Lepisosteus oculatus: one gene and its partners. The main gene of each other region encodes a partner of the protein of the gene in region 3 in a complex. Links are inferred from orthologs where the notes say so. Each region holds a gene or a part of one and is shown on either strand. Other genes may lie near its edges.

The links. Proteins that work in one complex are often made in the same cells at the same time.
Region 1: stx18 (region 3) and bet1l share a complex: the UniProt entries of both Homo sapiens proteins name them as parts of the SNARE complex. The link is inferred for Lepisosteus oculatus from reciprocal best matches to the Homo sapiens genes STX18 and BET1L.
Region 2: stx18 (region 3) and vti1b share a complex: the UniProt entries of both Homo sapiens proteins name them as parts of the SNARE complex. The link is inferred for Lepisosteus oculatus from reciprocal best matches to the Homo sapiens genes STX18 and VTI1B.

The regions. Positions count from the first base shown.
Region 1 is NC_090716.1:11,901,684-11,908,638, forward strand, and holds the start of bet1l (BET1-like protein), read left to right. Parts: upstream 1-3,856; 5' UTR 3,857-3,920; coding exon 3,921-3,939; intron 3,940-4,616; coding exon 4,617-4,708; intron 4,709-5,102; coding exon 5,103-5,159; intron 5,160-5,970; coding exon 5,971-6,138; 3' UTR 6,139-6,955. Other genes in the region: ric8a (synembryn-A), read right to left, coding at 975-1,064. UniProt on the Homo sapiens protein: Vesicle SNARE required for targeting and fusion of retrograde transport vesicles with the Golgi complex. Required for the integrity of the Golgi complex.
Region 2 is NC_090703.1:26,309,783-26,317,642, reverse strand, and holds the start of vti1b (vesicle transport through interaction with t-SNAREs homolog 1B), read right to left. Parts: upstream 3,100-7,860; 5' UTR 3,015-3,099; intron 2,495-3,014; exon of another isoform or gene 2,185-2,494; 5' UTR 2,140-2,184; coding exon 2,043-2,139; intron 374-2,042; coding exon 315-373; intron 1-314. UniProt on the Homo sapiens protein: V-SNARE that mediates vesicle transport pathways through interactions with t-SNAREs on the target membrane. These interactions are proposed to mediate aspects of the specificity of vesicle trafficking and to promote fusion of the lipid bilayers.
Region 3 is NC_090696.1:43,625,045-43,632,413, forward strand, and holds the start of stx18 (syntaxin-18), read left to right. Parts: upstream 1-4,361; 5' UTR 4,362-4,453; coding exon 4,454-4,606; intron 4,607-7,369. UniProt on the Homo sapiens protein: Syntaxin that may be involved in targeting and fusion of Golgi-derived retrograde transport vesicles with the ER.

The DNA of each region.
Region 1 (6,955 bases), on a different chromosome or scaffold from region 3:
GTATGGAGTACCTACTCTGATAAGTAAAAACAGTTCACAAAAAACATTAAGTAAAAATAATAGTAAAAAGTTGCCTGCTGATGTATTATTCAGCTTGCTAGAAGGAACTTGGAGTGAAGCTTGGGTTCCAGAGCTACATATTAAAATAATAATGACTTCAATTAAGATATTTACTACTACACTTGAAATAACAGCTGCACAGAATAAATCAATAGTTTGCTACACTATCAGAATGGCAACTATGGTGAAGGTGCTTTACACACCTACTATTAACACAGAGCTGTATCTTGCACTCTCAGCCCAAGACCATTGCCCCAGTCTTCCTGTATCTCAAAACCAACAAAGATCTAGATAATTTTAAGTATTACATATACGTTTTGTTCTTCAAGGCTGTGATGGTGATTATTGATATAAAAAATAATGTTACATTTCTGCCTGCATTGCACTATCCAAAAGCATTGGTATCAATGACAAAATAGCCTGGGCAAACTGTATTCCAGCGAGTGGATGTACCATTATGTAAAATTATCATCGTTAAATAATGCTGAGAAATAAATGTAAAAGTTACTACCAAGAATATACGCCTGCGTTTTAGGGCGACACTGTTGTTATGGCTAATTATTTTCATTTAAAATTTAAAAATGCAAACTGTACCATTGTGAATGGCAGTTTGATTCAATAAAATTAAATGCATTCAAGCTGACAACCAGGGCTCCCTAATCCAGATCACATCGAAGCTATTAAATATGTTACACTTAGGATGTTCACATCATGTCAGGATGGTAATGACAGAAAACATGCATTTCTGTAAAAATAGAAGGTAGTCGGCTAAACACACTAACAAATCACAGATACTGTATACCCTGCATTTCGAAGCCCACACATGGAAACACGGTTAACGGATACGAATCGTATATATAAATATACAAGATGTTAACCAAATACGTATAAAAATGAAAAATACTAAATTATACCTCCTTATTGTAAGCCTGCAGTGCCTTCAATGCGGCATCTTGGTCTCCTGTTTGCATCGTTTCTATGATGGCATTGAATTCCATTTTCATTGCTGTATTACAGACGCAGTTATTGTTGTTCAAGTCAAACTGACAACCACATACACGCCTTGCTTTGGGTAATATTCTGATGTGTCTCACTGCGTTACCTTACTCTACCAGCTCTTATCCCTGAAACTCGAAAGTCCTGGAACAAGATTAACGCAGGATTGTAAGCGTGCGTAAGGATTTCTGGGAAATGTAGTTTTACGTTTTTGTTTCTACACGATCAGGTGCAAGTCTCTAGGTGTAATACTGCTACAATATGCTGGGGATGTATTGATACAACGCGAGGTGTTAAGATAGACATATTCACATTGTTTTAAAAAAAGGGTACATTTAGGGTTTGCAAAACCGCACTCTTTTTTGCTCTTTTTCTTGTGTATCTCTTCTCTTTCTCCCTGGTGTTATTCTTACAATTAACTGGTGAACATACCGTCCACAAATCGTCTTATATAAAAGAAAAGTGCTTGGAAAAGTGAGCCTGCGATTCACAAGCCTTATTAACAAACATTTGATGAGCTTTTACATTTGAATTCAACAACACGACTCATTTAATTATCCCCCTTGGAATAAGGAATAACACTTCTATTGCAACAAAACAAAGAGTGAAACTAATCACGATACTAAGCTAAAACTATACTAAAGACAAAGTTGCCAGTCACTTAACCTTCTTACGACTTGTACAAAAATATTTCAATATCAATTCTCAGGTGGGAAAAATTCCTAAAGATTTTCTATGTGTATGATAGTTAAGTGTTGAATCAAAGGACTTGTAGAGACTTTTTAAAATACTTTTTTTATTTAAAAAAAACTGATTTTCCAATCAGTACGTGGTACTAAACATATGATACTTAACAGGTCATATTTTACTCCTCTCCTTAACAAAATTAACAATTGGACTAACCCAGAGGTCTGTATATTTTCTCAGTTGTTATGTGTCCTTCTTTCCTTCTTTTTGGTCAATACAGTGTAGAAAATGGAAAGTATATGCGGAAAGTGTGATCCTTTACTGGTAGCATTAAACTTGTGGGTTTATACAATGTGTAGGATTCTGCTTATTTAAATTTAATTTATGTTCTCTGGTTCATGTTTCAATGTTGAATCTGATGAAGTCAATTGGATTGCCTTTAAGGATTTTGCATTCCCCTTGTAGTATTCCCTGCTCAAGACTAAAAATATTTTGCCTATCAGTATATGACACTCACAGATGTATGGGAATTTATCTGGACACCATTCTCTGGAATGATTCAAGAGCAGTAATGATGTTCTTATAACGTGCTGATAAAAAAAAAAATGTTCACAATATTCTACAAAAACAAAAACTAAAGTGTTTTACTGTTTTGCCCAAACATCACTTTATTTACATTCTAGACATTTAATCATAATTTCTAACTCACTCTCTGCCTTCCCCACATATAAATGATGTACACACCTACAGTAAGTATGTATCATAAATGATCTGTATTTAATTCACAGGTCCAAAACTGAGCACAGCGCTCCAGCAGTCCAAGACAACGATGCTAACCAGGGTGTCACCATGCAGTTAGTTAAGCCTGTCTTGCTTGACTTGTTAGAACAGTTTGAACAAATAACAGCAGCTATGGATGTGACATATGACATGATATATTTAGATTTTCAGAAAGGTTTTTAATAATGGTCCTCATAAAAGATTGAGTCTCAGATTCTAGCCTTGAAATGAAAATTGGTCATAAGGATAAAAAAGAGATATAAATAAGGGATGTATACTCAAGGGATGATACTAAGGGATGACATAATTAATCTGGCACTACAGGGTTAATAGTTACATCTTTCCTTTCCTTAAAACCAATTAGTAGGATGTCATTAGGCCCTGGCTGGCCTATCTGTTAATTTTAGGGGCTTCTAATCCCTGCGACTCCACCACCTCTTCTATGCTAATTGTATTCAATACAGATCTTGGCCTTTGCTCAGCCTGAGGAATGTTGTTGATTTCTATCCTGATGACCACCCCTCTAAAATAAGAAATATATCACTCCTTTCTGTTTCATTTCCTAAAAGCTTCTGATATTTAAATCTGTATCTGTTCTTATGCTGTTGTAACACTGAAAAAAAACTTTTATTATATTTGGTTATTATATCTTTTTAAAATAACTCCCTACTCTTATCGAGAAATGCCCAGGGATCTTTAATGAGCGCTGAGAGTCAGGACCTTGGTTTAATGTCTCATCCGAAGGACAGCACCCACTACAGTATTAGGACCCACACAGACCACAGGGTGGGCACCCCCCACTGGTCCCACTAACACCACTTCCAGCAGCAGCCATAGCTTCCCAGGAGGTCTCCCATCCCAGTACTGACCAGGATTAACCCTGCTGAGCTTTAGTGGGCTGCCAGCTGTGAGCTGTGAGCTGCAGGATGATGTGTCTTCTGGCGTTTGTTCTAACTATTAATAGTTACAAATATATCAAAATTATTGTAAATTAGGCAGTTCTGCTTAATTTCAAAATGAATTTAAATTATAATTGATTTTATAATTTTACTCTGTTTTGTTGTCACAGTAATTTGCAAAAAGATATTTCTTTCTTCCTGATTGGCGAAAATAACAAATATGATGTATTTTTTTTAATTTAGAAACGAAACAATCGGATTAGTTGCGTATATTTTAGGATTATTTTATAGTGCACTTATTTTTTTATTGAAAGACAAGGCCAATGTATGTTCCAATCTATTTATTCCAAAGGGCAACTCTAATAAAATCAGCATTATATATGGACGAGACATTAATAACATTTTTACTTTCAAACATTACCCTATTAATGTAACAGGATGTGACGTATCCGTTACTTTACCTTTAACCCTCTTCCCAGAAGAAGGAAGTCAACAAAGATGGCTGACTGGAATAGAGGTAGGAAGTGGACACGTAGTCAATTCTAAATAATATTTTATTGGTTTAATAGTGTTTTTGTGTGGTTGTATAGTCTGAAAGTTTCTCTTGACAAGTGTGTTAAACGTATATAAAGTTGTGGATACTAGGTGTTGTAAATTGGACTAGAACAAGTGAAATAAATATAATTATGATGCTTCATCAAGCTAATAATTGATCAATGTAACGAGTATAATAGTTGTTACAAACGAGACATCGCTGAATCGAAGTAGAGTCATAAAAATAAAGACAGCATTTAAGCTGATGATGTGCATGCTGTAAGCGTCCTAAACATTATTCAGACGGTTTTTTACTTCGTTTAATCTACTTAAAATTACTCAAGGAACGCTGATCACACAGAGTAGTTTGTATCAAACAGGTTTCTGATCATTAAATTGTGGCATCAACCGGAGTAATCAAGGGTGGGCAGAGCTCTGCTTTCTTTAAGGCTTCGTCTGGCACCCACACTTGGTCATAATTAATTCAAATGGTTTTCCTTTTCCGCGTTATATAATTTGTTTCTAGTGTGTCTGATCGTCTTCAAACATGCTTATATTATCACTGTGAACTGTGTTCGTGCTGCCTTGAGACAGGCTTTGAAACGGGTGCTCACTTACTTTGTGATGCTCTTCTCTCTTGCTGTTTTTCCTCGTGGTAAGGACATGGCTCTGGTGCTGTGGATGAGATGCTGGATGTTGAGAATAAGCTCTTGGCAGACAATCTGGCCACTAAAGTCTCCAGACTAAAATCAGTATGTATTTAAACCTCTTACTACACCTTGTGGCATATGTGTGTTTTTAAAATGATTTTAAAGCGTTTTTTTATTTTCCAAAACATTTATCAGTAACTTGGTAATAGATTTATGATCTCATTGTTTTAATTTGCAAAAGTAGATTGTAAACGGCCCGTTACAGAAGACCGATACAGAGACAAGCCTACTATTCTCTAATAGTATTGAATTCCAATACACTGCTCATGTGTTTGTACAAACCTGGGCTTCACTTTGTTTCACAACATTTTTACTATCAGAACTAAGAATGCAGTTTACCAGTCGTATCATACAGAAACAAAAGATTTACTACAGGACTCTGAGATACTGCTGTTGCGCACTCCTTAATAAGTGTTTCTATGCTTTTATTTAACAGCTGGCCTTTGAAATAGATAAAGAAGCTGAGGACCAAAATTCCTATCTTGATGGCATGGTAAGAGCAATTTGCAGGGCCTAAGATAAGATATGAATTTGAAACATTATTATGCTAATGTGACTGGGAATGCAATTTGTTCATTATAAAGTTTGTGATAGTACTGTTGTTCATCTACAACTTCAGGATTCTGTGGCAGCACCTTATTTGGTTGTTCTGGTGACTGGACAGGACTGAAAAAGTAGCTGCGATAGCCTAAAGGGAAACAAAGGAACAGGATTGACTTTAAGGTCAAGAATGACTTGCAGCTGAATGATGCAAAACTCTTAATATACTCCACCAGAAAAAAAAACTGATGACTTTGATGATAAGTAACATTTTTGGGGGGATTTTTACATTACATACATTTTTGGGGGATTGTTAAACATTATGGAAACAGCTATGTGGGCCCACAACTCTATTGATAGTTCTGTTATAATAATAGGAATAATAGGAGCTGGAGTCATGAAAGTTAAGAGTTTTAAAGCCATGCTCTGGTTTGCAACTATTGCAGGTGTCTTAGTAACAGTTATTTTGGTTTGTCTGTCTGAAATATTCCACTTGTGTCGTGTCAATTCTTATGCCTACAAACTCCATGTTCTCTCCCACTTGTGGGTATACAGGGGTGTGTTATATATTGAGGTGTATTTTGTTACACAGAATCATCTTCTTTGCAGACAAGCAATAAAATATTAATTCCACTTGTTCCTAACTACCTAGAACTTTAGAGTTTTGTGAATCACATGACCCTTAACATGTATTCCTACAAAAGCTAAAACCTGTTTTTAATTGGACTTGTGCTGTATTTACACGTTCTTTTTGTTTTCTCAAGGACTCAAACTTTTTGAGCACCACAGGGCTCTTGACAGGAAGTGTGAAGAGGTTTTCTACAATGGTTCGCTCTGGAAGGGACAACCGGAAGATTTTGTGCTATGTCTCAATTGGACTGGTCTTAGTTTTTTTTATACTTTACTACCTAGTCTCTAGGACACAGACGTAAAGTGGACAAAGGGAAAAAGTTTTGTTCCTTAATTGACAAGGGGTTTGCAATGAGTTTCTCAATTATATGAGAAATTGAAAATATTTCCTAATGATACAGGCCTCATTAAGCTCTGATCGTTGTGGTGAAGCACCCCCAAAAGACTGAAAAACCGCCGTTTCTTCCCAGTAAAACTGAAATTCACAGAACGCAATATAATCTGTACATCGAAACAAAGGTTTCTGGTTTTAACCCTGATTATAGCAACATTTCTCTGTGCATTCTTAAATGTGAAATTTCATCCTGTGAAAGAGAATGAGAAGGTTTGCTGGTATCCTGATTGCAGAATGCTTCTTGGTGGTTTGGTTTGTGGGGAGTGGGTGTTCCTCATGTGCGTTTCTGCTTCTCTGGAATATTCTCGTACCTAGGAGTAATTTTAAGATTATAAGAAATGAAAACGAAGGTTAGAGAGCAGCAGAAAACATACTCCTATGACCTATGAAGTTATCCTAGATGATAAACGGATCAGGAATGGGAAGAACTACTAGTTGTTTTTAGAGTGGTGAAAGAGGGAGGCGGATCGGTTTGTCTTTAAAATATTTAAGACAGGGGGAGTACACAATTTAAAGCTGCTGTAATGTGGCAGGTGAATGAAGGTGTGCTGTAGAAAAAAACAGAAGTCTTTAATTTTTCAGTATTTTGCAGCTACACCTAGGACCTTGTAATATTTCAGCATTGGCACAAGGTTATTATTATACTACAGAATACACTTACATGGAAATATTTATTCTTCTAAGTTAAATTTTAAATTCTAAACTGTGATAATGATATTTTTATT
Region 2 (7,860 bases), on a different chromosome or scaffold from region 3:
AAATGTTTCACAAATCTGCAACAAAGGTCAACAAACATGGGGGGGGGGGGGGGTCTAAAAGCCACTGGGCTAAATTCAAACATGGAATTAGCAAAGGACTGGTCCAGCACATTTGATTTATTTGGTTACAGGGGAAGTCAGATACAAGCCAAATGTAAAAGCAGCTCTTCAACTGTTCAATTAGTTGATATGGTGACTGAGTAAATTATAGAACTTATGGATCTAGCTGACAATCAAGATCTCCCCGGACAGCCTTAAAACCCTGTAGAGCACAAACATTTAAGAATGAAAATCCCACCTTATCCTTTCCTTACCATTTCCTCTGCCTCTCCTACTTTTTCATCAAAAACTCTCACATGCCGCTTCCTTTCCTCTGAAAGAAGAAAGGTTTTAGAGTTGTGCTCATAGCAAAAAGGTTCAAGTTGCATGCACTGGCATACCTATATTTAAAAAATGCTTGCTCGCTAGAACATCTCTTGTGACCCCAGCTAGGGATTTAGTGCTGTATTCACTACCTCACCATCCCTTACGTATAAAATATTAAATAAGTATAATATAACACATTACTGCTGGTTCCAAAGTGTCCTGTTCTTCCCTAAGTAACATTTCTTTCATATTCTAAAGCAAGTTGTAGAACTTTAAGCAGGCACCAAAGAGGCAGTAAAGAGGTTTTATGTTAAAACTTGTATAGATAAGCACTGAAAAGGAAAGTTATGTTGTACACAAGATTTACAAAAAGCATTTGATTCAAAATACTATTTTCAGAAGTTAAATCCCATTCATCCATTATCTTACTGCTTCATCCAATACAGGGCTGCTGGGGAGCTTAAGCCAATTTTACCAGGTGCCAATTAATCTACTAGTGAGTTTTTGGACTGCGGGAGGAAACTGGAGCTCCCACAGATAACAGACACGAACACGAAGAGAACATACAAACTCCACACAGATAGCACACGAGGGCCATTGCACTGCAAGACAATTTCCTAAATGTTACACCTATTACAAGTAATGTTTTAAAAACGTTCAAAAGAAAGAACAAAATGTGGACCACATATTCTTTGAGGTTCTTGTGTTTTATATGAAATTGGTGACAGTGGTTTAAAACAGTGAAGTTGGTTGCTATAGATGGGTTATCCTGAACAATTTAAAATTCCTCTGTACATTTTCTGTTTCTCATCAGAGGTCTGGCCTAAACCGCCTGTTCCACCCATGACACTTTTATGTCCAAATAAGTCATATACTGCATTATCAGCAAAGAATGCAACCTTATGTGAGTTTTAAGTATCAATCCAGATGAAGGCAGCACCATCAGGAGCAAGTCCTTACTACCAAACTTGTCTCTCGGAATGAACGGAACCAAAATGGGAATGAAATTAAAATTCTGATATCATTACAATTTCATGAGGTTTTCCGAGTTCAGGGCTTCTCTAAAAGAAGAAAACGTCAAAGAATTTTTGTTCCAGGACGTTTTGGATAAATGTTTTATAATTTGTAACGTTTGCACTGCACTTTATAAGTCTCTTGTTTTGTATGTTGCCGTTCTACAAACTGTACGAAAGTTTTGCATTTTATTGCATTTATTAGAATTGTGCATTTCCTACGTTGCTTTGTCGATCTTTATTTTTTTAATATTGAATATAAATTTACTTGAATATTTAGAGCGAATTCTGCGCTCTACTTGCACAGACACATTCGTAAGCCATTCTGTGCCTCTTCAGTGATAACAGAATCAAGGTAACAGCTCAGTTATTCCTAGTACCTTCCTGGAGCCTGTATTCATCTCACGACACCGACTGTCAGCAGCAATAATGATAATATAGACTTCTGACATTTATATTTCACTAAGGAGCTAGAAATCCCAAACGTTGAATTGAGGTAACGTTTTAAAATGTCTCGTTAATATATTGTGTTAGGTTTTCCATCGGAATATTTATCGAATGTGAAGTATTTCCAATTAATATTATATATATTATAATTCCAATGAATTTCTGGTATTTTATTGATTGAAATTCCAGTTCGACTTTCGAAGCCTTTCTACTTACCTCCATAACATCGGGACACTCGGTCTGGCATCACTTTTAGCTCTTCGAAAAGGGATTTATAAAACTCATGCAACTTTTCAAACTCTTCGGAAGACATTTCAGTATTTGTGTTTTGTTTCAAGGAACCAACCGCGTAATTCACCTACAAGTCAAATATAAGTACGTGAAAACAAAAGATTATCGGGACTCCTGGTAATGGTCCTTGCATTTTAGACCACTTTTCGTTGCCTGTTTTGAAGGGATTAACATTATAAGAAGAATAGGTACAATAATAACGCCATATATGCTACGTTATAAAACATGACATTATCTTAACTATTTTTTTAATTACAAGACTTGAAGTTTCCCTCTCAAATGTGTATTTTATAAAGGCTTCTACCAAGGAAAACTAAAGAGCAAAGCTTTATGGACAATGTAGTACTCGGAATGTGTGGGAATGAGCTTCACATGATTAGTGACCCTTTAAATTGTTTTATCTGCAAATATTACAGTATGCTTTCTAAAAAAAAATAAGTTTTTTGTTGTTTTGAGTGGGTATCATATTAATTGATTTATCTAAATGACATATCTAAATGATCTTTTAGAACAGTAAACGTTTCAACAAACCTATAGTGTCCCAAAAATCTCAGTAATCGTCCTCTAGAAAGCCGCCTTTCAAGACAAATTAAAAGATTCGTATACAAGTATATTTACGTATACTTTTATTTTAAATGGAACATCTTTAAGATTCTCTCGGGTAGTTACAGTTTTGTGCACCCAAAACTATGCCAGCTATCAACCTTGTAGACTTTAAACTTAAAAGCAAGTAGTAGAATAACTCGAGTAGAATAACTCTTTGTATGCTACCGCAAAGACTACAGCACTTAAGAGTTAATATTTTTCAAAGAAACGTAGCCTGATACTATTAGACGAGGTTTAAAGCAGAGCACATATAGTGTAAATATGTAACGTTTATCAGAAATATAACTTTACCTGTTGAGGATTTTTTTCCCAGACATTTTTTAGAACTTTTATTTTGAAAGCTTATGAGACTAGGAAGCTAGTTATTTTAAGCGACGCGAATGATCCGGAAGTGTATGTAAATAGCCGAATTTCAATCAAAATAAAAGCCTTCAGCTACCACAGGAGTATAGTATGAGGAGTATAGCAACATTAAGCTGAAACACCTGCTTTGTTATTTCTTCGTGGGTAACTGTAATTCCTTGAACATTCTGCCAAAATTTGAGAGGGTCCTTTTTAATTTTAAATCGTATCCACTAATCTCCAAGTTTGACAAATCTAAGATTATTAGAAGTTTTTATTAATTTTACAGCACCTTTCTTCCATTTATAGTACTGTAAAAATTGTCATTGTTATATTCTTTTCATAGACATGTTTTTTTCCTGTCCAATGAAAAAGGTTTTAAGATGCAAGCTTTTAAAGGAGCTGTATCTGAAATTTCTAATTAAATCAAATCATTTATTATATTTTAATTCAGTTTTTTAGACTATAATCAAGGGCAAAAACATTTTTTTTGCACCATCAAAAGTGGTGAAACATACAATTTTAAGACAGTCAGACAATAGCAAATCACCCTTTTTTTGTCAGATAAGTGGCTCTGTCAAAACTGCTGGGGTTTATAGAGCACCTCCCATTCCCAGACTGGGACCTCTTCAAAAATACCTCAGATCTATTCTACAGACCCACGGCTAATAGAAAATAACTGTGTTTTTTTCAGATAAGTGTTTTTGCTAATGTTACTGGGGTTTATAGGACCGCTTGCTGTTCCCAGACTGGGACTGTGCAGTGATGGACAGGGAAAAGTGTAAACAATAACCGTGATCCCAACCAAAGTAATGCTGACACTGAAGATCATAGTATTGTGACCAAAACCATAGCTGTGACACGGAGTAACCATACAATATAAAAAGGTTCTTAGACATAGAGTGGATGACTGGCACTGTTTTGAAAAGGCAAAAACTGTAATGCATCTGTAAATCATCCAACAGGTAAAAAACACAAAGGTGGAGTGTGACGCTTGCAATGAGTGGATTAATTTTGTTTGTATAGGTATGAGACAGAATGACAAAGATATTGATTCTGTAGGGTTTCTGTGTTGCTCAGAAAATTGTGATGTTAAAGCCACGGCATTAAAAACTGGGTTCAGTTTCTTGAACAAATGTGAAGCAATCAGCAGTGTAATACATAATAAGTTAGATGTAACCAAAAAAAAGTAAAATTGATGTATCACGTCAGCATTGGTGCTCAAACAGCGCTGGATTATCTCATTTGGGGGGCTTATTGTGGTAAGACAGACAATAAACAGATGGTTTCCCAGGATAGGGAGGTCGAGCTAAATGGTGACACAGAAGTGGAAAGTAGTATTGCATGTAGTGCATCCGTCACCCAAGGAAATTGTTCCTCATGTAATTCCCTCAAAAAGTAAAATGCACAGTATGTGCAGAAGTGATGTTGATGGTATGAATCTACATGGTAGGTGTTATGAGAAACCCCGGAAATTAAAACACGAGCACAGTGGTAATTTTCCAAAACCAGCTAAAATAACCAAGGAAATTTTGCAGAGTCGGCATGTATATCTTCAGTGTCATAATTAATTCAGTGGGATTAGAAGATCTCTCTGCTCATATTTATGATACCTGCATTTTCATGGGTAGTAGATAAAATAACACACTTGTCACACAGTCTATTTCCAATCTCAGAAGTCTAGTGTCACAACTGAACACTAGCAGTGTCCCCACTGTTACAGGTGCTGAGGACTCAGATGTTGATTTTGGATGCATAGAGAATGTGAATTCTCCATTTATTCACGATTTAAAAAAATGTACATTAAGGCAATGACAGATATAAACAGACAGGAGAACAAAGAGCCCAATGACTATTTTGGTTCAAAACTTGTTTTGGAAAAAAAAAAATCCTGTCGTCAATCTCAATTTGGACAGACATACTAATGGGTAGATTTCAGCAAGATGGATGGACTACATCAATTTCTGAGGTAAAGCTCAAAATGAATGTGTGGAAAGGTTAGGAACTCTTTACAAAGGAAATTAAAGGGAATTTTGTGATAAGATAAGACTGAATTTTTCTAGAATAAGTAAGTCTCCTGCCCTTGTGGAAGAGGAGGAATGGAACAAGAAAATTCCACAACATCTCAGGCATTCATTCCAAAAACCCCCTATCAAGACAATCAGACATTTTTAGTCTAAATGATACATGCAAAATTTATGGTCATCCAAATGATTACAACAAGCCACCTATCATTACATTCTCAAAAACAAGTGCTGGTTAAATTTTGTCATGTAGCGTGTTAGTAACATGAATGCAATGCAGACCAAAACAAATATTAAATTATTTTCTAAAGGTTTTAAGATTATGCCTGGCTGTTTACTGAATTTGGTCAAACCTTCCATCAACAACCTTAGCAGCTACTTTTCAAAGCCAGTGTTAGATGAGATATGTGAAGTAATATCTTCAGTAGATTTCAAGAGAGAAATTTACCCAGCCAATTTAATAATTCCCCTTATGTCCTGGTTTGTTTGTGGCCAAGTAAACAGTATTACTTCCCATGTAGACTTTTGCTAGAACTGTAGTTTCCTGCATACCGAAAGACGTGAAGTCAGTCATTTTTTGCTTGCACAGATAGCTGAGTTTTTCATGAGTTAATCGACCCTCATACACAAGTCTTTGCTAGAGAACATAGTCACACAGAATTGCTCAAAGTGTTAGCAAACAGTGGTCTGGAAGCAACAATTTAGCTCTTGTCCACAAACTATTGTGATTCAGATTCCCAGAGCACATTCCACTGCGAACTGCAGTTGGAATTGGAAAGTGTTGGTAAAGTGCAATGTACAATTAAATCAACAATATGCCATGAAGGAAAGTCTATAAACAGAGGTGGACATCATTGGGCGGTACTTTTGTGCATTGGACAGAAATTTAGAATTAAAGCAAATGATCAATACATCACAACACAGCCAACACATAGCATAGACCAAACTAATTATTGTGTTTGTTTTCTAGAAATAAGGGAGGCATCAGACAGAGACATATATTGGTCAAACCATGTACTCACTGTTGAGAATGCCAATACTCATGAAACACAAAAAAACCTGGAGCCACTGAACAGTTACATATCAACTCTACTGCATAGTAAAGAGGCACTGAAAGAGTCTTTGAATAGCTTGCAATCAGTGACAAAGAAACAGACAGCCTTACCTGTAACAATACACAAGACTTTCAAGACCCTTCTGGGATCTAAAGCTATTCAGATTTCCAAAAATACGTGTAGATGCCGAACCAGGTAAAATTGACATAGAAGTTTCGTGAGAAATTCTCTAATATTAGATTCTATCATCCAAAATTGAACCCCGGAGGGTTTCTTGCAGTTCAATGAGGTTTTTCCTCCCCCCTGTGCTGTGGAGAATTTATGTGTCCAAAGGATAATAGGCCAGACAGCTGAAGCAGCATTTGAATGCTGTCTGAGTAGTTCTACACTCAAAATAATAAAAGCTGATGTAATTTAAGAGAAAATCTGTAGTGTTTTAATACAGAACACTTACAAGGCATCTTTACTTCCCAGTCTTTCGGAACGCATGGGGGGAATCAATTAACAACTAGTACTTGGGCAACATGTGAGCCACCGTTTCCACATTACTGGATCAAATCAAAAAGGCTCCATACCATGTCTGTGGCAGAGCCACCTTCCCAGGAAAGATACATCACCATTGAAGGTCTATTCAATATTTTGGCTGTTTCAATACACTCTAATAAATTTAATAAAGCAGAATACCAAAGTTTGATAATATGTCTTACATTTACACTCCAAACAATTATCCCATAGACAGTAAGGAAAAAAGTGTGAAATTGACACTTTATTTCAAACCAGAAAGGATAATCCACTGGTGAAGTGTTAACAATGCCCACATTGTGATATCATGCCCTTCGAGACAAATCTAGTATCGGCCACTAAAAGACCCCTATAAACCCCAGCAACATTGGCAAAGGACGCTCATCTGGCAAAACCATTAGCTGAGTACTATAGTACTATTAGCTGAGGATCTGTAGAACAGATCTAAGTCACTTTTGGAGAGGAACAAATTTTTATTTGGTCGGGAGGGGAATGAGACCACTCCCTGTCCATCACTGCACGGTTCCAGTCTGGGAACAGCAAGTGGTCTTCTAAACCCCAGCAACTTTAGCAAAGACACATATAATGACAAAACCTCGGTTATGTACTATTAGCTGAGGGTCTGTAGAGTAGATTTGAGGTATTTTTGGAGAGTGCCCATCGCTGCACTGTCCCAATCTGGGAATTGGAGGTGCTCTATAAACCCCAGCAGTTTTGACAGAGGTGCTTATCTGAGAAAACCATGGTGATTTTCTATTAGCTGAGGGTCTGTAGAATAGATTGGAACTACTTTTGGAGAGGCACAGTTTTTTTTGTCAGGAATTATACTTTTCCATGTCTAGCAATGCACAGCTCTGTGTCAATTTGCAAGGAGAAAGTGTTATAAAAACACCAATAAGATTGCAAGAGAGCAAAAAAATTAATGAAGAACGGCAATTCCTTATTACCTGTGGGTCTATTTATCACATTCCACCTAGTTTTGAGGATGAACAAATTGTTGTTGTGACTATAAATGTGACTTTAACTGGCCCAGGATTATTTTTTATGAGGCAGGTTTTATGGGACTTTTATTTTGAAAGGTGCTGACAAGCCAGCGCCGCTTAATGTCGCTAAATTCACGCTACTCAATCAAAGTAAAAAGTCCTTCAGCTATTACAGTAACGTACAGCTGAGCAAAGAGCAAGAGTAGCGAGC
Region 3 (7,369 bases):
GTTCACCTGAAAGCTTTTATCAAGCAATTTTTGGCAATAACCCTTATATTTGCTATGTATTATATTATATTATAAATGAATTACAAAAATAAATAAAATACTGTTCCAAACCTTAAAAATGAAAAGGAAGAATTATGTTGTTTTCCATTTACAAAGGCATTTTAAGCATTTTAATTTTAATACTCTAGACTGTGCTTGTGTTCAGATTCATTTCTATGCTAAAAATGTTTATTAATAACACAGAAATTGGTTTTAGTGACGGCTTCTACTAAAATCAAAGTAAAGCAATGCTTTTGTTGGAACTGGTGTAAGAAAAAAGGATAATTCCACAGTGCACACCTGATTGGCCTCAGAAAGTTTCACTGGACTCTTTTTTTTACAAGCTGGCGGCATGAGCTGTCTGAAGATGTAATTGGGGGGGTTTGCTTGAGGTCAATGGCTGTCAAATGCCATCGTCATCAGAAATTTCTGTCTGGTACTTGGGCACTGTAACTTGTCAGTTAATGAAAGCTACTTTTATATTCAACACAGGAGAAAACACAGAAATTGTAAGGCTTAGGTGCTGAAGCTGCGAAAGTGGAGATGGAATCACAGAGTTATGCAATACAGAGCAGGGTTTATAATGCAGCATTAACAAAGGAAATGAGAAAACCACACAGCAAATAACAGGCTTTTTATGCTAAACATTAATGCCACTTTTTAAGTTTAGGTACAGTTCCAAGGGACTTCAAATAAATGGTTTTGTAAGAAATATTACGTACAAATTACTACATAAGTCTAGACAGGACATTATTTCTTTATTTACGTTGGCAAATGCAGAATTTGGTTTTAGTCAAATAGTAATTTTAAATATGTATGTTTGGACATATGTAAAAATAAGTAAACGTGTGAACACGTAAATATTTATGTAGATTAGTAACCTGTTATCCACTTCCTGCAATAAACAGAAAGAGTAATTAAAACAGAGGCTATATATTGTAAAAGGATATATGTGATTTCCTTTCTATTGCTACTAGAAAGGTAGACAGATGTTTAACTGCTCCTGAAGCACCAAACCGGATTTGGTCTGAAATGGAGCACAACATTTTTAGTAATAATTGACTTAGTTAACTATCTAAAAGTAAATGATCATTAGAAAACATCTGTAAAGACTATAATAAAAATGACAATGAAGAAAGTCACACATTATGAATTACTTGAATGAAAACAGCCAGATTATTCCAAAGTAAACCTTTGCTATGAGCTTGTAAAATAATTTGTCTTGTGGTTAAACAGTAATCTTTTATTTAGTTTTTCAACAATACCATTTGTTATTTCTCAATAACAGAAAATAATGTTGAAAAAGAGACACTTTCAAGTGAAAGCAGACCAGCAGGATTAACAGTCGGGCAATTTATTTTTTCCTTCATTCTTGGTGTGTCTCTTCACTCAGCTATTAAACCTGTAGTTGTGAATTCCATATTCAGTATGAAAAATAAAGTTTAGTTGAACAGCCTTTAGATTCAGAAGCTTTGAATGATAAACTGAATGTAATGAACTGTTTATCAACACACAGTTAAATTAAAATAACTGACTTGTCACTCTTTTGTTGTTCGTGTTGCCGTCAGGTATTGGGTGTGACTGGAGCAGATATTAGAAACACTTAAGATTAAGTCAATTTCAAGGCATGATTATTTTCTACCAATTGCTCTCAAGAAAATAATAGATGTTATTCCTCGACTGTTGGCAAAACTTTTCCCACAGTCATTTAGGAGAGGATTAATACCCACTGACCGGAAAATGGATAATGTTGCACACATCCATAAAAATAGTGATTATCAGAACCTACTATTTATAATCCAATAGGTCTTATTACAGGTGATCTTATGGAAATGATATTAGAACTTACCTGGCAGATCATATCTGTAGAACAGTAGGGTTTTATAATATAGCAAACAATGATATAGAAAAGGTATGTCTTGCTAAACGATTTTGCTATAACAACAGTAATATATACAGAGAAAATGACATGGTTTATGCAATGTTTTTGGATTAAGAAAATTACTGCAGTATCACAAGGGCCTTTATTATGACCACTTCTCATCCTAATGCACTTTCTGTGGGGGAGCAGAGTGCATTTAAAAGTGAAAACAGGACGTACTTTTCACACAAAGATTTGTGGGAATTTGGTACATATTATCCAGTCATGTTGTAAAAGCAGATACCCTGGGTTCTAGAAACAGATGGATCCACAATTGATCAATTAATTATCTATCATCTAAATAACACAGATGAGCAGAACGGCCTTGTCTTGTCTGTAGCCTTTGTTTTGTTCTTACAAAATTTTGTGTCACGTTTGACTACATTTTGTCTAACCATGTATTGTATAGCTTTGCAAACGATAAATTAAGGAAAATATTAATAGGACAATAGGGTAATGAAAGTAAGTGAACAACTAAAGATAACTTTGTGTGTGTGTGGAATTTATTAATGGCAGATTAATGTATTCCTTCAGTAAAAATGAAAAACATCATTAATAGTTTCTAACATACCATTTGAATATGCATGTTTAAATCAGATTATAGTGTATATATTTATATTAAATATAATATAAATATAAATATATTAAAGGTGGGTAGCTGCGTCAGCATGCGTAGGCTGCAAAGGAACAAGTAATAGGTTTATTCCATGCTGAAAAAAAGAAGAAAGAGAACACAACGTTTCGGCCGTGGAGCCTTCTTCAGGTGTGAAGAAGGCTCCATGGCCGAAACGTTGTGTTCTCTTTCTTCTTTTTTTCAGCATGGAATAAACCTATTACTTGTTCCTAAATATATTAAAGCAGTATTGTTTAACTACACTGTCTACAGAGCTGCATAGAGGTCATAGCATCATAACAGAATGATACACAGACTCCAGAGGTGATTATGTTGTATTCATGAAGAATGAAGGGGGAGAATGTCCCTAATACAAGTTCATGGAGTTTTATATATTCTCTTTACCTGTCCACCTCTCATTACACCACTGCAATTCATAAAACACTTAAGATTAAGAACTTGTTTGTACATGGTATTTTGCCATGCCCTGAAGGCTTGCAACTATTCTTGGCTTTGACCAAAAAATGTTATTAAATGCAAAAGCCATACACCAAATAAAATGTAAAATCAATAAGTTTAAGGTAAGTAGCAACAATCACTCCTTGCTGACAGAACTCTTAGTTTAAATGATTTCTCCATGTTAACTGGTTAGTTGTCAAATATATTTTCTGAACTGACTATATTATTAGTTAGCTTCAGTACCATAACAAATATATTAGTTTACTATACAGTTTAATACAAATAAATTAGAATGTTGGTGATTTGTAAAGCTTGTTTTTATACAAAAGCAATGAACTATTACATTTCTCTTACTATCTACATATTCATTTCAGGATGTCAATGGTCTTTTTATGCAAAAAGGTGTCATTTTTGTGTGTGGTTCACGCAGTTTACCATTACCTTTGTGATCCAAGCTAGCAAATATTTGAGTTCTGCTTCACAAGCCTTTGTGAATCATGCTATGGGCATTTCCTTTGTCAAGTAACATTTTATTGTAGTGCATAACTATGTGCAAGCAAACCTTACGACTATGTTTTCCCATGTAAAACCTAGTATTAGAATAGGCAGACTACCTATTTTCCAAAGTTATTTATGACACATAACCACTTCACATTGTAAATTAAGGAGGGCAAGCATTTCAAAGCAAACTGGACAATGAATCCCTCTCATAAAATCTAGAAGTCTGACTAATGCTGATATTCTTGGCCTTCCCTGTGGTGTGTCAATAGCAGATGCTGACAGCTTCAACATTCTCTGCTTTGCTTACCGATTGAAGTTGTGACACTCTTGTGACTGCAGTCAGTCGTTCTTATAAGGAAGCTACATTTCTATACATACATCAAAATCCAAAAATGTTTTTTTCTTGTATGAGCACTGCTCTTATTATATGATGTATGTAAAACATGTTGTGATTAAATTAAGTTCATCCAATACACAATACATTCTGCATATGTATAAAAATGTCTTCAAATATTTTCATTTCAGAGTAAACGTATATATTACAATCTTCTCATAATTTTATGAGACTTCACACTACATAATTGATTTAAAGAGTAAACTGTTAAACATTTATTTTGAATATGAACACTACGGACTGCATTACACACTCTTAAACCTCCTCAAGTGTGTTTTAATAAATAATTTTAAGTTAGTCTAAAATATGCTTAATGCTTTCAGACTCTATAATATCAAGAACAAAAAAAAAAGAATAATATGGACCAATCCTGCAATCGCCAAACGTTATGTGGAAGGGAGAAAGACCACGTGTATTGGTCTGTCGCAGAAATATGACGTTAAAGACGGTGACGTGTCTTTGTTGACAGCAGATACAGGGGGTTTGCTTTAATTTTCAACGTTTGTGAGAAAGGCATGGTTTAGAAATGGCTGTTGATATAACGTTATTGTTCAAAGCGAGCGTAAAGACTGTGAAAACCCGAAATAAAGCCATTGGGGTTGGATTCGACAGTACAAAAGATGACATCCTGAAGAAAACCAGACTTAAGAGTGACTTCTCCACAAAAGCTAAGGAAGTGGTGAGTGTAATTACAGTCCAGAAATAAGATTCTGGGAATACAAACATTTATAAACCGTCTGTTTTACAGAGAGTTTAGTTATGCAGATTACAGTTATTTTTTCATTGACCGAATATGTAAGGTGTTTTAAATCGGAATGTAGCACCTACACATTTTCTTCACAAAACTGTCGACTTTCTTAATAAATCTCAAATAAATACATTCTAAAAGTGCTATATCATAATGCAATAAGAAGTTACATAAATAAATTATCTCCATTTTCCATTAATTTTGGTGTCCAGAATTTCTACTCGCCTTAACTTCAGAAATGTATAAATGCAAAGTCTGTTTGTCATGTTGTCATCATATTGAGCCGACATGGCGTCAGTTTCAATAGCGATATGCTCAGGATGTTTTTTTTTAATGAAAGAAAGCGTGGGATTTTTATACTAGATGCACATGTCGAGGTTAAGATACACATCAAGGAAAATGTAACTATGAATATATAGTCTTTCTGAAACTGTTTCTTTACCTAATGTGAAACCGTCTGATGTATCATCAATCGTAACTGAAGTTGCTGGTACTTTACTCTGTGGTACTGCAGCAGTACTTACACATTGTAAACAGTGGAGGACTGCAAGTAGTGACGGACCCGGTAGATGGCATTCTTTGCTCTGGAACAGAAAAATACAGTGCAGTCTTAGTGTGGTGACAGAGGATGTGTAGTGTGAGGGTACACTTGAACTAAGGTACACTTTAAAATGGAGCCTGGCATGCAGATACCTATGGTCAAATACCAGTCATTTCTCAGAGGCTCAGGTGTTATTAAACCTTAATAATTACCTTCAGTATTTTATTCTATAAAAATTGAATTTTCATATTTGACTTGCTGATAGCATTCTACTGCATCCTTTGCTGGAATATGACCTTTTTCTGTTACAAAAGATTCCTGGTTCATAAAGACCTTCTCACCACACTACATTTACCCGAAATGTATCTGAACATCTAATGTCACAAAAGCAGAAAAGAAATAATTTGACTGTGCAGACTCTTATTTAGCATTATGAAGATTTAGCCAACAACTTAATTTGATTGTTTTTTTTTAATAATACAAATATGACGTAAACCTTAAAGTGGTGGTAAATTATAAATGAGCAGTGTTACTGATCAGAGGCCCAGGTAGTTTCTGTCATGATGCATGAGGCATAATATGAGTCGAATCATGTTAAGAATCTGTCCTTTTATTCCAGAATCATGTTTAATAGGATTAGGTTATTTTTTTTCTCTCATTTGAGAATTTACCATTCACTTATTCTGCGTTACTCTTTTCCCCATAGACATTTACTGAAGGGCATTTAACATGTTTATTTTATCCTATTTGGTTCGTTTAAAAGTTAAGTAAATGCTTTTACTTTTTTTTTTTTACAATTCTGGATGTAGTCCTTGTTAATTTTAAAAGATACTATTTGAACTATGAAATAACCAAATATCCTTATCAAAGCTTTATTCGTTCAGTCCTTGTTTGTCAAAAAGAGGAAATTGTAAATTCTTCTGTTCTTCACCATTGCATACCACCCAAGTGAAATTTCATTTAGAGTAAAGTTAAAGACAAGTGGGGTTCTTTTGTTGTGTGAAGTCGTATTTCCCCAAGAGAAAAAAAAAACCTTTTTCTTTTCCTTTTAGTGCCATATTCCTGCACTGTCAAGTTATAGTGACTTCACCTTGATGCAACATCTGAGTGTAATTTATTTTTTTATTGGAACCGTATTTTCTGTGCCTAAAACCTTTGACAGAAAGAGCCTCTTGAGCTCTCTAACTGTTCAATGGGACAATTGTACAAGGAGTATTCAATTGTTGTATAGTTGCACTGTTAAAACATCAGCTTTAGCAGATACGACCAGTTAGAGAATGCCTAAGACATTGGAATTGTGAAGAGCCAAAATCTAAAGAGATCTTTAACGGAAGAGAAATGGAAAATTGCAGGAAGATCCAACATCAATAAACTACACAATAGAAAGCCACTGGTAACATAGAATTCATGATTTAACATTCAATCAATGAATAAAAGAGATGAAAACACATTAATTAAATGCCATCAAGAGCAGGGCATTGCCGTGTTGCATTCTGAATGTGAAATGCCTAGAAATCCTATGCAAGGAGGTTGATTCAGCTGCTGGTATCTGTCTCCCTTGTAAAATTGAAATTGTTTAATCGTCAGTTCTTAGTGTTTTGCCCATGTAGCATATCAATCAATGTTTATTCTAGCAATTTCTAGACGTCAGCTGACATTCTGTACGGTAAATTTGGCCTTATTCATTAAGTGCTTCTTTCTTCCATCTGTGTTCTGTTGAAGCATTTCAGTCTTCAAAACAGCTGAACCGGTGGCACCAATGTTTTTAGAATAGTGGAAATCTACATAAAGTTTATGAAACCTTGTATGCATTTCAGTATGAACATTAGGTTATAGGCAAAGTTTAAAAATAAATATTTAAGAAAATAATTGTAATGTAAACCAAAGATTTTATTGCCGTGAATCACAATTTCTCCCTTCTCTTTAACAGTTAAAAAGTTCTTAGATTTTTTTATTTTGCCTCTCTAAATATTTCAAAATGTATAGTTATGAAAACAAAGGACATTAATGTGTTTTTATCTTCATCTTGAATAATACAAAACATGAGGTACTGAATAAATATTTTCATACCTGTTTCTTAAAGAATGCAGACTGTTTGAAATCGGCTGTAAAATACTATATATAGTGGTTTCAATATAGTATTAAAAAATCAT